Drosophila melanogaster: one gene and its partner. Changing the gene in region 2 together with the main gene of any one other region gives a genetic interaction. Each region holds a gene or a part of one and is shown on either strand. Other genes may lie near its edges.

What was found.
Region 1: of Ero1L (region 2) and cnc, changing one suppresses a phenotype caused by changing the other (phenotypic suppression), as found in Drosophila melanogaster (one study listed by BioGRID).

Annotation. Positions count from the first base shown.
Region 1 is NT_033777.3:23,218,961-23,223,777, reverse strand, and holds the start of cnc (cap-n-collar), read left to right. Parts: upstream 1-1,816; 5' UTR 1,817-1,932; exon of another isoform or gene 1,933-2,016; intron 2,017-2,881; exon of another isoform or gene 2,882-3,134; 5' UTR 3,135-3,361; intron 3,362-4,528; 5' UTR 4,529-4,817. UniProt on the Drosophila melanogaster protein: Plays a role in posterior cephalic patterning. Probable subunit of a heterodimeric regulatory protein involved in the control of head morphogenesis.
Region 2 is NT_037436.4:4,168,491-4,174,312, reverse strand, and holds Ero1L (endoplasmic reticulum oxidoreductin-1-like), read right to left. Parts: upstream 3,910-5,822; 5' UTR 3,662-3,909; coding exon 3,521-3,661; intron 3,100-3,520; coding exon 2,836-3,099; intron 2,089-2,835; coding exon 1,403-2,088; intron 1,346-1,402; coding exon 1,037-1,345; intron 976-1,036; coding exon 924-975; 3' UTR 524-923; downstream 1-523. Other genes in the region: CG18675 (uncharacterized protein), read right to left, coding at 1-360. UniProt on the Drosophila melanogaster protein: Oxidoreductase involved in disulfide bond formation in the endoplasmic reticulum. Efficiently reoxidizes pdi-1, the enzyme catalyzing protein disulfide formation, in order to allow pdi-1 to sustain additional rounds of disulfide formation.

The DNA.
Region 1 (4,817 bases), on a different chromosome or scaffold from region 2:
TTATTTTATGATTCATTTATTGTCCCAATCTAATCGAAAAATTCCCCCTGTGGAACATTGGCTGATGTAATTTGCATTCTTCCAAGGCAGGGCCCACTGTATTGTGTACAATGGAGAAATCCCTCTATGGTTACTGATACCTAATACTTTGTTCCCAAATCAATTGATAGATAATGAATGCCGTTTCCACGCGGTTATCTTTCTGGATTCTCGTGGGAGTTGATATTGTTGTTGGGCATCCACTGTACTTATCTACATTTGAATTTGTGTGAATGTGTGTAATTTTCTCAATAAATGGCAAATAAAACAAACCATTAGGTTGGCTATATCTCATTTTTGAATTCCACCCGTCGAAGTTCGCTTATCAGTTTTTATAGCTCATTTACAGTGAAAGTTCGATAAAGTTACTAGCAGGGAATTCGAAGAAATTAAAAATAAAATCACACGAGTATGGCTACTAAAATATATATGAATTTATTATATCTTTGATCTGTCACATTGATCAAAATGAGTAAAAACACATTTTCTTATACGCCGAAAACAAACTGTTTATATTTAATGTCGGAACAGAATTATTAAGTTCAAAACCACCATCCTAAAAAAAAGCCTAGTCAACCTAGTGACCCATCCTTATCTGTGTGTTCGCTTTCATTCCAGTTGACATATTGACTCATCACCATTTGTGCCAGCTGATAAGCAATAATGATCGACTTAGAGGATCTGCCTCGGCTGCAATCCTTGTCCCCGGCGAAGGACATCGAATATACCTACCACCAGACCCAATTGCAGCTGAATCCGAAGAAGAAGGTCACCGTCCGGGTGCCCATTGGACCACCCTCGAAGTTGAGTAAGCTGATTAAGCCCACGGTGGCTTCCACGCCCGCTGTACTGGCCAAGCCAACGCCATCCATCACCCAATCGACGACGCCAGGTAACGCCAAGACCAACATTTGGAAAGGTGGCTTCCATTTTACCAATCTGGTAAGTATTGAAAGGCTTCGGTGTTAATTACTTTATCCAAATGCCAGCACAAATGTTCCCAGTTCAGAACGCAATATATCTATAAATTACCCCCATCAATCTAAATTAATTTTTATGAGCAGGTCTTTTAGATAGATTGATAGTCTTCTAGCTATATTTTGAATTACACGTTCTGAATAGTGTGGCTATCTGTTTTATTGAGCAAGTCTAATACAAATGTATCCATTTGTGATATCAATAGCTAACGGAAGTTATTGTTAAGATATTTGTATTTTTGCATGCATGTAGAATATCAATATCAATATCATGAAAAAAAATTATTTTAAATTAATATTAAGGAAATATAAAACTATATATATCCCTTTATTTTTAATTTTAATACAAATTTCAACTTTGTTATGTAGAACTAGTTAAAAAAATGACTAATGCAAATTAACTGAAAAATTTGCATGGACACGTGTCAAAAGCTTATAAGCTTACACCATATCTACATAAAATTGCAATAGCCACCATGTCTACATAAGTTACTCTTAGGGAAAATATAAATATGTTCTTTATATTCTTAAGATATTCTTTCTAAAAACTAAATCTAGAAATAAAAGGTAGGTAATAAAGATACATTTGTAACCGAAATCTACATTTCTAGCTCTCCTTTAAAAAGCTCTTTCTGTCACTGTTAGTTTAAGCTACATTTAACATTTCTGTTAAAAGCACAATGTATTATGGTGAGACCGCACTTGGCGGCCCCGAAAAAAACCGCAAAAGCACAAAACTCAACAAAATCGTCTGCAAAGAGCCTCAACTGGGCACACTTGATAAAAGCACCGCGCTGGACAGACGTTTTTTGCCTCAAATGTTTTGAGGCCGCAATCGAAAATCGCGACTGATTTCGACGGCGGAGAAATTGCCAAACGCGGCGTAACAAACAAAACACGTTTTCAAGCTCACCACGTAGGTACGGCGGTTGGCGAAAGAGAGTAGCAAAGCGGACGCGACAATAATTTGCCAAATAACAGTGAAAGAAGACGCGTAAAGGTGCGAAGTACACGCCGCTTAAATTGTGTGTGTGTGTGTGTGCGTGTCTGGCTGCGTGTGCTTGTGTGCCGGAACAACAAATGAAAAAGTTTCGGTTGTGCGTTTAAGAACTACAGTTGCGAAATGTTGCATGCCCCACTAAATAAGTGCAACTCATTGTGTGGTGGTGGTACTGTCGGTGGGGGTGGTGGGTTAAAGGCAATCAAAACAACAACGACCAACAGGCTAGCAACAACAGTTATTCAGCAATCGCCCCCTCTCGCTCTCGCGCTCAGTCTCCCTCTCTCGCTCCCTCTCCACCGCTCAGCTGACAGAATGCAATCGAGAAAAACATCGAGTTAGAAAGAATAGGGAACGAAAAGGAACTAGCAATTTGATAAATAATTTGTTGATGCAAAGTGCAGAGTGAATGTTGAAATGCTGCCGTTGCCGGTTATTCTCTGCTCATTCTCGAAGCTTCCATATTTCATTTTTCCTATTTGTTTTGCTCTCCGCGATTCTCAGCAAAAAATTAAATCGTTTTGCATTTAATTAATTGCATTAATTGTGGGCACAGACCGAATTGGAATTGGCAAGAAAAAACAGCAGTTGTATGCTTCAACGTGTGCGTGTCTTTTTTTTTGGTGTGTGAGTCAGAGAGAGACGAGAATCGGGCGATAAAAGAAAACAAAGAAATACAAAGCAATGTGGAGGCAAAACACATGCAAATATTAGGCAGTGTAAAAACAACAAACGAAGCGAAAATATTATTGTTTTAACCCTTGATGGACTTGACAATTTTTTGTACCTTAACGTAGTTAAATAATTTTACAGCTGTCTTGAAAATCTTAACATACAAATGACTTCAAATTCTAATTTGACGTAGGTCCAATATAGGGTTAACAAATAAGTGACGATTTCACCACGTAAAACGGCACCACCACCACACACACTCTCACACAAAAGTGCGTACCAGACGGCGAGAAAGAAGCACCAGGTGGCACATAATCAAATATCAATTGTTATTAATATTTAATGGCACTTGAATGCAAATTGTCTGCAGAAGAGAAAGTTCAAGGACGCAGACAAGCGAAATATATATTTAAAGTTGTTAAATAAATAAAACGCGTGTTTTCCAGCAATTAAAAGTAAAAATCGTAGAAAGTGAAACATAAACAAATAAGGTCTTGCAGAGCAAAAGAAAAGTGAACGGTAAACAATAAACCATTGTGTGTGCTGCAGGGAAGAAGAAGCAGCGAAGAGGAAAAGAAGATCAAGCAACGGCAACAACAACAAGGAGAACATTTACTGCGCCGCAGCTTTTTTACCGTTGTAGTCGGGTCTCATCATCCAAAAAAAATTTGAGGTGAGTGCACTGCAATACAGCCACAATCACACGCACACCCACACAAGAACCCTCTCTTGCACGCACATGCACACGTCATTTCCCTACCCCTCTCTTTCTCTCTCTCGCGCACATCTTTTCATTGAGAATTGAGCCAAATAAAGTTTGGATTTTTGTTAAAATGGCTTTAAACAAAGAAAGTTTATATCGAACCTTGAAAGAATTTTGCACACAATTTTTTCGTCCGTCCTTGAATCGGGTGCTTCACTTCGCATTGCGCACATTTCAAATGCTCGCGAGAGACCTTGAACAAGTTCAAGTTCAAAGCCATTTCGTCTGGGTCTGGGTCATTCCTTCCGCCTCACGCCCCCCTTTTTCGGGTGGGCGGTTGTCTGTTAACCTTGTTTAAGGGGGGGGGGGGTGTGTGTGTGGCTGGACAGGATGGGCATATTAAATGCGTTGTGGATATCAAACAGAATTCGGACAAAACAACAACCAAAGAAGGATACATGCATATATGTATTTATGTATTATACACACATATTTCGGAAAATTCGATTCTTGACCTGCTTAATTGTCTCTGAATATGAAATTAACTATGCTGAAATGCGCTAGGTCATCATCATAACAGCCTTTCTAGGCTATCCACTTTGGTTTGGTATGAAAACAAACTATGTGTTGTGTTTCTGTAGCAAAACCTTGTTAGTGTTTCTGCACATTTATAATTTCAAGTTTAAATAATAGAGATAAGGGATGTTTCCTTACGACAATCTTTCATTTATTTTAATATCTCTCGAAAGTATTACTTATGTACCTTAACTACATAATTGCGAACAGAAAAACATAATTGTGTTCGTTTTTGCTAAATAAATATGAATCCTAATATAATCGCGATGTGGAAATTAGATGTGTTTTTAATAAAAGACGTTACCGACCCGGAAGTTGAACTTTCTTTGGTGCACTTCCTCGTGCTTAGCAATTTATAAAATCGACTGGCAAACAAAACAAAGGCTGCACCACTCGAAACAAAAGCATTTTCATTTAACATTCAAACTGCATATATGGCCATGCGGCAATGTATGAATATTACACTACATATCTACATACTTGCATATGTACATATAGTTAGCAAATCGTTATGCTTACTAATTCCATTCTATTTGTTGTCACATCTTGATTTGCTTACAGAACAAAACCGAGGACAGCCATCAATTAAAAGCAAAGAGCATTGGAAAATCGGGGAGATAGGCCGTGGAAACTGCGAATTTTCAGCTTTTTGCGCAGATTTCGGAACGCCGAAGGAGGAGGAGGAGGAGGAGGCCGGAAGGCGGGGCAAGGCGACGTCATTGAACGCATAGATCCCGGACGACGCAGCCGTAGAGCTGTTGTCCGGGACGGAGAACAACAAGAACAACAGCAGCGGAGGAGGAGGAGGAGGAGGAGGAGGCGGCGGGCGGAGGTGGACTACGGACTACAA
Region 2 (5,822 bases):
CTTGGCGTCGTTCATGGCACCTGCCAGGACCTTTTGCATCGCCTCAGTTGGCTGCTGTCCGTTACGGCGAAGGAGCGGATCCTTGTTGATAGTGAAACCACCAGACGGGATGCACTTATCCGCCCAGACATCCTTAAGCTTGAGCTCTTCCCTCTGTTCCTCGTTGAGGCCAATCATTTCAGGCGGCACCATGGTGCCATGTTCGGCCAGCTCCTCAATCTCCATGCAGACACGCTGAATCTTCAGTTGACCATTGTGCAGAGCCACAAGCTCGCGAAGCACAGTATCAGTCTTCTCCTTAACGCTTGTCTCATAGAGGAAGATAAGCTCGTCTCCGCGTTTCACCTGAAGAAGCACCATTTCGCACAGAAAATATAGTCACAAGAGCAATCAAGTGTCGATCGACTGGATAGCAATTTGCTAATGTCACAAAAGCCGACAGCTGGAATGGCAAACAACTCGGTTGCTAGGACCCGTATCGATGGAGACGTTAGAGAGGGTGTTTCAAAACAGACAGAAGTTTATTTTAGCGCCTTGTGTCGTAAGGTCTTGGTATTGCACAATGCGTTTACTTGCTCATTAAGTTCCGCTCACAAACTCCTCCAGATACAATAAATACTATGCTAACTTACAATAAACACCTGCATCCTGCATGGGTTATTTTTTTGTCATTTGGTTTTTTTTAGGGTGATACGGTGCGCTAAAGTACAAGTAGCCTAGGGTAATAGTTTGTATGTACAGGGAAGCAGCTATCCTGGGGTTACTAGCCTCTGGCCTCAAAAATGTTACGAACTATGGGAGGGAAACCGCATTCAGTAGGAAGTCCAAGACGCAGCCCCAGCGATGTGCGTATGAATTAACTAGCTGCTCATGTGAGGCGAATGAGATCCGGCTCGTCGCTCGGTTAGTCCAGTCTGGATGGGTTACCTCAGCACGCACCGGAAATTCTCCATCTCGTATATACTGTTGGATAGTCTGCAAGCAAGTGTATAGATGTAAGTATTTTAGAAATGCCATTTTATCATTTAAAACGCACCTGCCAAACGCATTAAATAGAGCTACAATCTCTGTTCGCGACAGCCTGAAGATGGGATCCGCTTCGATGTGCGGCTTGTCCCACAACCCGCTTTCCGTGGCCAGATTGAGCTTCTCTGAGTAGAGAATCTTTAAAGCAGTACCCAATCCCTGCGTCTGCAGCTTCCCCCACAGTTTGCACTTGTCGCAGCCTACGCAGCTCATGATGCGGGATATGTTTCGGAACTTTTCCTTATAGTCGTGCTTGAACTTAATAGAAGCGATTCCATTACTGAAGAGGGCGTTCTCGTCGAAGTGGGATTGAAAATTTCTACAAAAAGAAGCTAAATTGAAACATTGTAAGAAAAAAGAATATTCCTATACTCACTCTATGACACTCAACATATCATTGATGGCTAGTTTAACCTCATCATCCTCCTCTGCGATGCCCGTGTAGTAATCTTCTCGCCGCAGATAAGGAGCAGCCTTAGCCAAGGCGCGCAGTTCTATCAGATAGATGAAGTAGAGGTTTCGCAGCCAGTGCGGACCTTCACCGCTTGTGGTTTCTGGACTAAAGCGTCGTTTAAACTCCTTTACGTTGGGACCCCAGATGCCCTGCGGATCTAAGAAGTCCTTTGACTCTGACAGCAGGTATTTGGAGCACAGATGAATGTTGATACTAGAGTGCAGGCCAGAAATAATGCGATAAAAGGCACGCTGCTCCAAGCACACATTTCGCAAATCCAAATGAGGCACGTAGTTAGAGAACTTGTTAGCCGTCTCGTTGTTGCCACCGAAGCAGTTCTCCAGATAGATGCTCTTCCAGATGCGATGTGCCGATTCGCCCTTATAGCCGGTGTACCGCTCAGGATTTAGGAGCAGATCCACATACTGGGATCCCTCCTCATGATCGTCCACGATGCAAAAGTCCTCTTCCGCCTCATCATGCTTCGCCCACAGTTCGAATTCCCGATGCGCCTGATCACTTATGCTCGTGTCCAGGAAACCCAGAGAGCTGTCGAAATCCTCTCCATCCGAGCACGCTGAGCCCCCAACTTGCGCCTCGCGCGTGTACTGTAAATACAAGATGCAGATGAGGAAGTCAGTAAGGTGAAGTGAGCCAGTTGTGCAAACAAATAAGCTTAAGTTTTAAGTCAGTCATTATTTCATTGATGGTTAAGTAATCTTTGAAGAAACAGATAAAGCTTTTCACAAATATATCAATACATTCTTGAACGGCATTATCGGTATAAATAATTATCTATACGTTAATAAAGTATCTGGTAGATAATATGGTTTTGTTTTTTTTTTGCTATGTACGAGTATCAATTGTTTTTTGTTTGTGAAGATAAGAACCTCTGCTGTTAAATACATACGTATATTGAACTGCATTGTTTCTTTTTTTTTTTTTTTTTTTGAGTTATCTTTAAAAACAATAATTGATTTTCATTCTCATTTTGGGGTATAGAATTTTTGTTTATAATATTTTACTGTATGGTATAGTCTGCTAAGGAGTGATCAATATTTTAGATAAGTTAATAAGTTAATCGACAATTAAAAAGGGGCGGGCAAACGCTTGATGAGATGTGAAGACCACGTCAGCATTGCAAAACAAAATCAAAGGCCACATCATTAACAGTGTAGGCTCAGTTGAAGATTATCGATGCGGTTCATTCTTGTGGAGCCGCAGACATTCGAATAAAAATAAATCACCTGCAAGCCCATTGAGTGATTGGGTAGATAGTGGTGATTTTGGCAAAAGATTGAATAAGATAAGAGGCGTAGTGTAGACGATAGCGATGGAAATACCCGGAATCTTACTTTAAACGCGGCCTTCTCCTTGTGCTCTCCCTTGTCCTTGATGCCCTGGGGAATCGCTTGCTCCTCGCAGTTCTCCACCTGGCAGAAGCGCATCGCACAGCGACTGTCATCCGGCCAGAAGGGGCACTCCTGCCGCAGGTTCACCTTGTAGAAGCGGAAGAAGTTCTTCACCAGCAGACTCTGCAATCGCGGATAGATTTTCATGTTGTTAAAGTGATCCACCGTGTCCACATCGCAGCTGCAGTCGTTTATAGATCCCTCCAACTGCGAAGAATATAAATATCATACAGTCGAGGTGGCAATAGTAGGTATACAAAAATTTGATCTCAAGTTAGCTGAGTACTATACATATACTAGGTCAAATATTATTAGTGAAGCAAGTGTAATTAATTAATTATCACAAATAAATAATTGAGTATTCTGTACGTTCTGCACTGCAATTAAAGCAAAACTAATATAAGCACGAATTCTTTTTTACTAATCTCCAGTATTTCAACTACATACTTTTCAGTTTAAAATACAATTTTAAAAGCCTTTTTTTAAGATCTAAGTAGAGATCGTTAAAGGATAAGCAAATGATGATGAAATCAACTTCTTAATATTTTTGAAAAACATATTTTTAAATGGCTTAAATCATCAATTAATTTTACCGTTACTGTGTACAATAATCCGAATATTAACCCACCTCGCAGAAGCAGTTTTTGCTAGTCTCCGTCTCATCGATGGCTGCAAAATAGCCTCCAGTGGTGTCCGTCCAGAGCAGGAGCAGAACTAGGACCACCGCAGCGGAGGCCCACAGATTTCTCTGCACCGTGCGTGTTGTCATTGTGTTTTGATGTGAGTGTTGCTATTGTTATGACTGTTGCTGTCACTGTTTTTGTTGTTGCGTGCTCAGTTGTTTTGCGCTTCGCCGACGGAGTGCATCTGAATCCGATTTCCCCACCCGTGTGATTTCGCACCTGCGATTCCGAATCCCAATTTCACGAGTTTAGCGAGCATTTGCGTTTCGAAGCAGCAACATTGTTCATTTACTTTCGATTCATGATTTTGGACACGTACCTGGCGTTTGTGTGACCGCACGCGCTAAGCGCCGAAACGTACTAAAAAATACCACACTTGACGAGCGAAGTGCGGTCACTCAGCACAGCAGGTGCTTTTCAAATGGCCAATATTTCCCATTAATATAAATAATTTTATTTCAGTAATTTTTTTCGATTCGCAAATGAAGTATTCGAATATTTCTAAAAATTTTATATTTCTTTTCTAAAAGTTTTGGTTAAATGTTAAATAAGTAATCAAAATGTAATTGACCGTAAATATATAAAAAAAAGATTTTAAAAATAATCTGTTAAAAATTTGCCCATCAGATATTTGTTATATTGAATTTACGATATGTTGAAATTTCGCGCCATTTTTTTGAAGCAGAGGCAACCCTCTTCCCAGGGATGAAACATTTTAAGGGAAGAGGTTGCCAGATCGCGTTATGGAGAACAGAAATAAAACCGCTCGATTTGAATTAGCAGAATGAGAATATTTAATAACAAAAAATTGAGAGTGAGCTTGATTTAAAATTAAATAATGTAAAATTTTTCAAGATCAGATATAAAAATGATGAAATCGAGGTAAACCACTTTATTCAACAATTTATTTAACAAAGTATAAAAAAATAACTTTTTGATGAAAACCAGTTCATTTCTGATAGTTAAAAAATTCGGTTAACGATATTTAATTAAAATATGAAATATGAGCGTAATAACTTTCCAAATGACTTCTAGCGATAAAATTCAAGATAACATTCAATCGTCAATCAATTGATTGGTAAATGTGAATATCGTTATGGATTTCCTCGTCTCCAATATTGATGCAGTTAATTAATTACCTCAAATATTGATTTCGGCTATTCTTCGGCAATGAATGCGTCTTTTGTTCCCATGACAAACCCTTGCCCCGACGATAGCACCCCTCAAAGGAGCTCGCGACCCTCGATATGCAAATTGAGAAAACTCGGTCAGATCTTGGATCGAATCCTTTCGAGCCCAAGACCATCATCGTTCATCACGCCGGGGGGTGAATTGCTTAGGATGCTGGGCACGACGATGCAGGCACCTCGATTATTCGAACATAAATCGCCTTAGGTCGTTTGGAAAGTAGATACCAACCGCAACAGGATGGGGTCTATCATTTTAATTTAGTTACATCTTAGAATGTAACAAAGAAGCTACTTAATTTTAAAAAAAAATCAAATTAGTTACAATACCTAACTAACTTAACTAATTTATCAATTTTAAGCATGTAGATTATTTAAAACATTACATTAAAATTATTATACGTTAATGTGAACACCAAAACTCTCACGTTTCTTTTTCTTTATTCCGGTTTTATTCGAAATAAAACTATTTTTTTGCTCCCAAAAAAAAAAACTTCTTTTGTGTCCCACCTGAGCATCCTATTTCCATCAGAACCCATCAAAAGTTCTCACGGAAAAGTGAAATTACAACAACGGGATGACTTAAGCAAAAAAAAAAAAAAGATGAACCTCGAAAAAAACGGGGAAAAATCTTCGAAAAAAATGTACCGAACGAAAGGGTTTAATCATTTTTTTTTCCAAATAGGACGATTAATGCAGAAAAAACGCAGACGCAAACATGTGTGGCCAAAGGACAGGGCGGCGACCCTCGGCATTGTTCGAATTGAAAAGGAATCATCGCGGACTCGGGCGAGCGATTTGCATACGCAGGACGAAGGACGCAGGACGAAGACCAAACCACCACCACCAACTCCTTATCTATTTGCCTGAGGTCCTCGGGACCAGGTATAAAACTCGCACAGAATGATAAATCCTTTTTTTTCTCGTTTTTTTTTTTTGATGAACTTTTTTCACTTTTTTTTACCACTTTCGGTTTTTTTTATGCAGCACTTTATTCAAATTTCTAGCCGATCTGGTCGTGTGAAGTTTCGTCTTGAGAAGATTTTGCCCCGAAACGAAG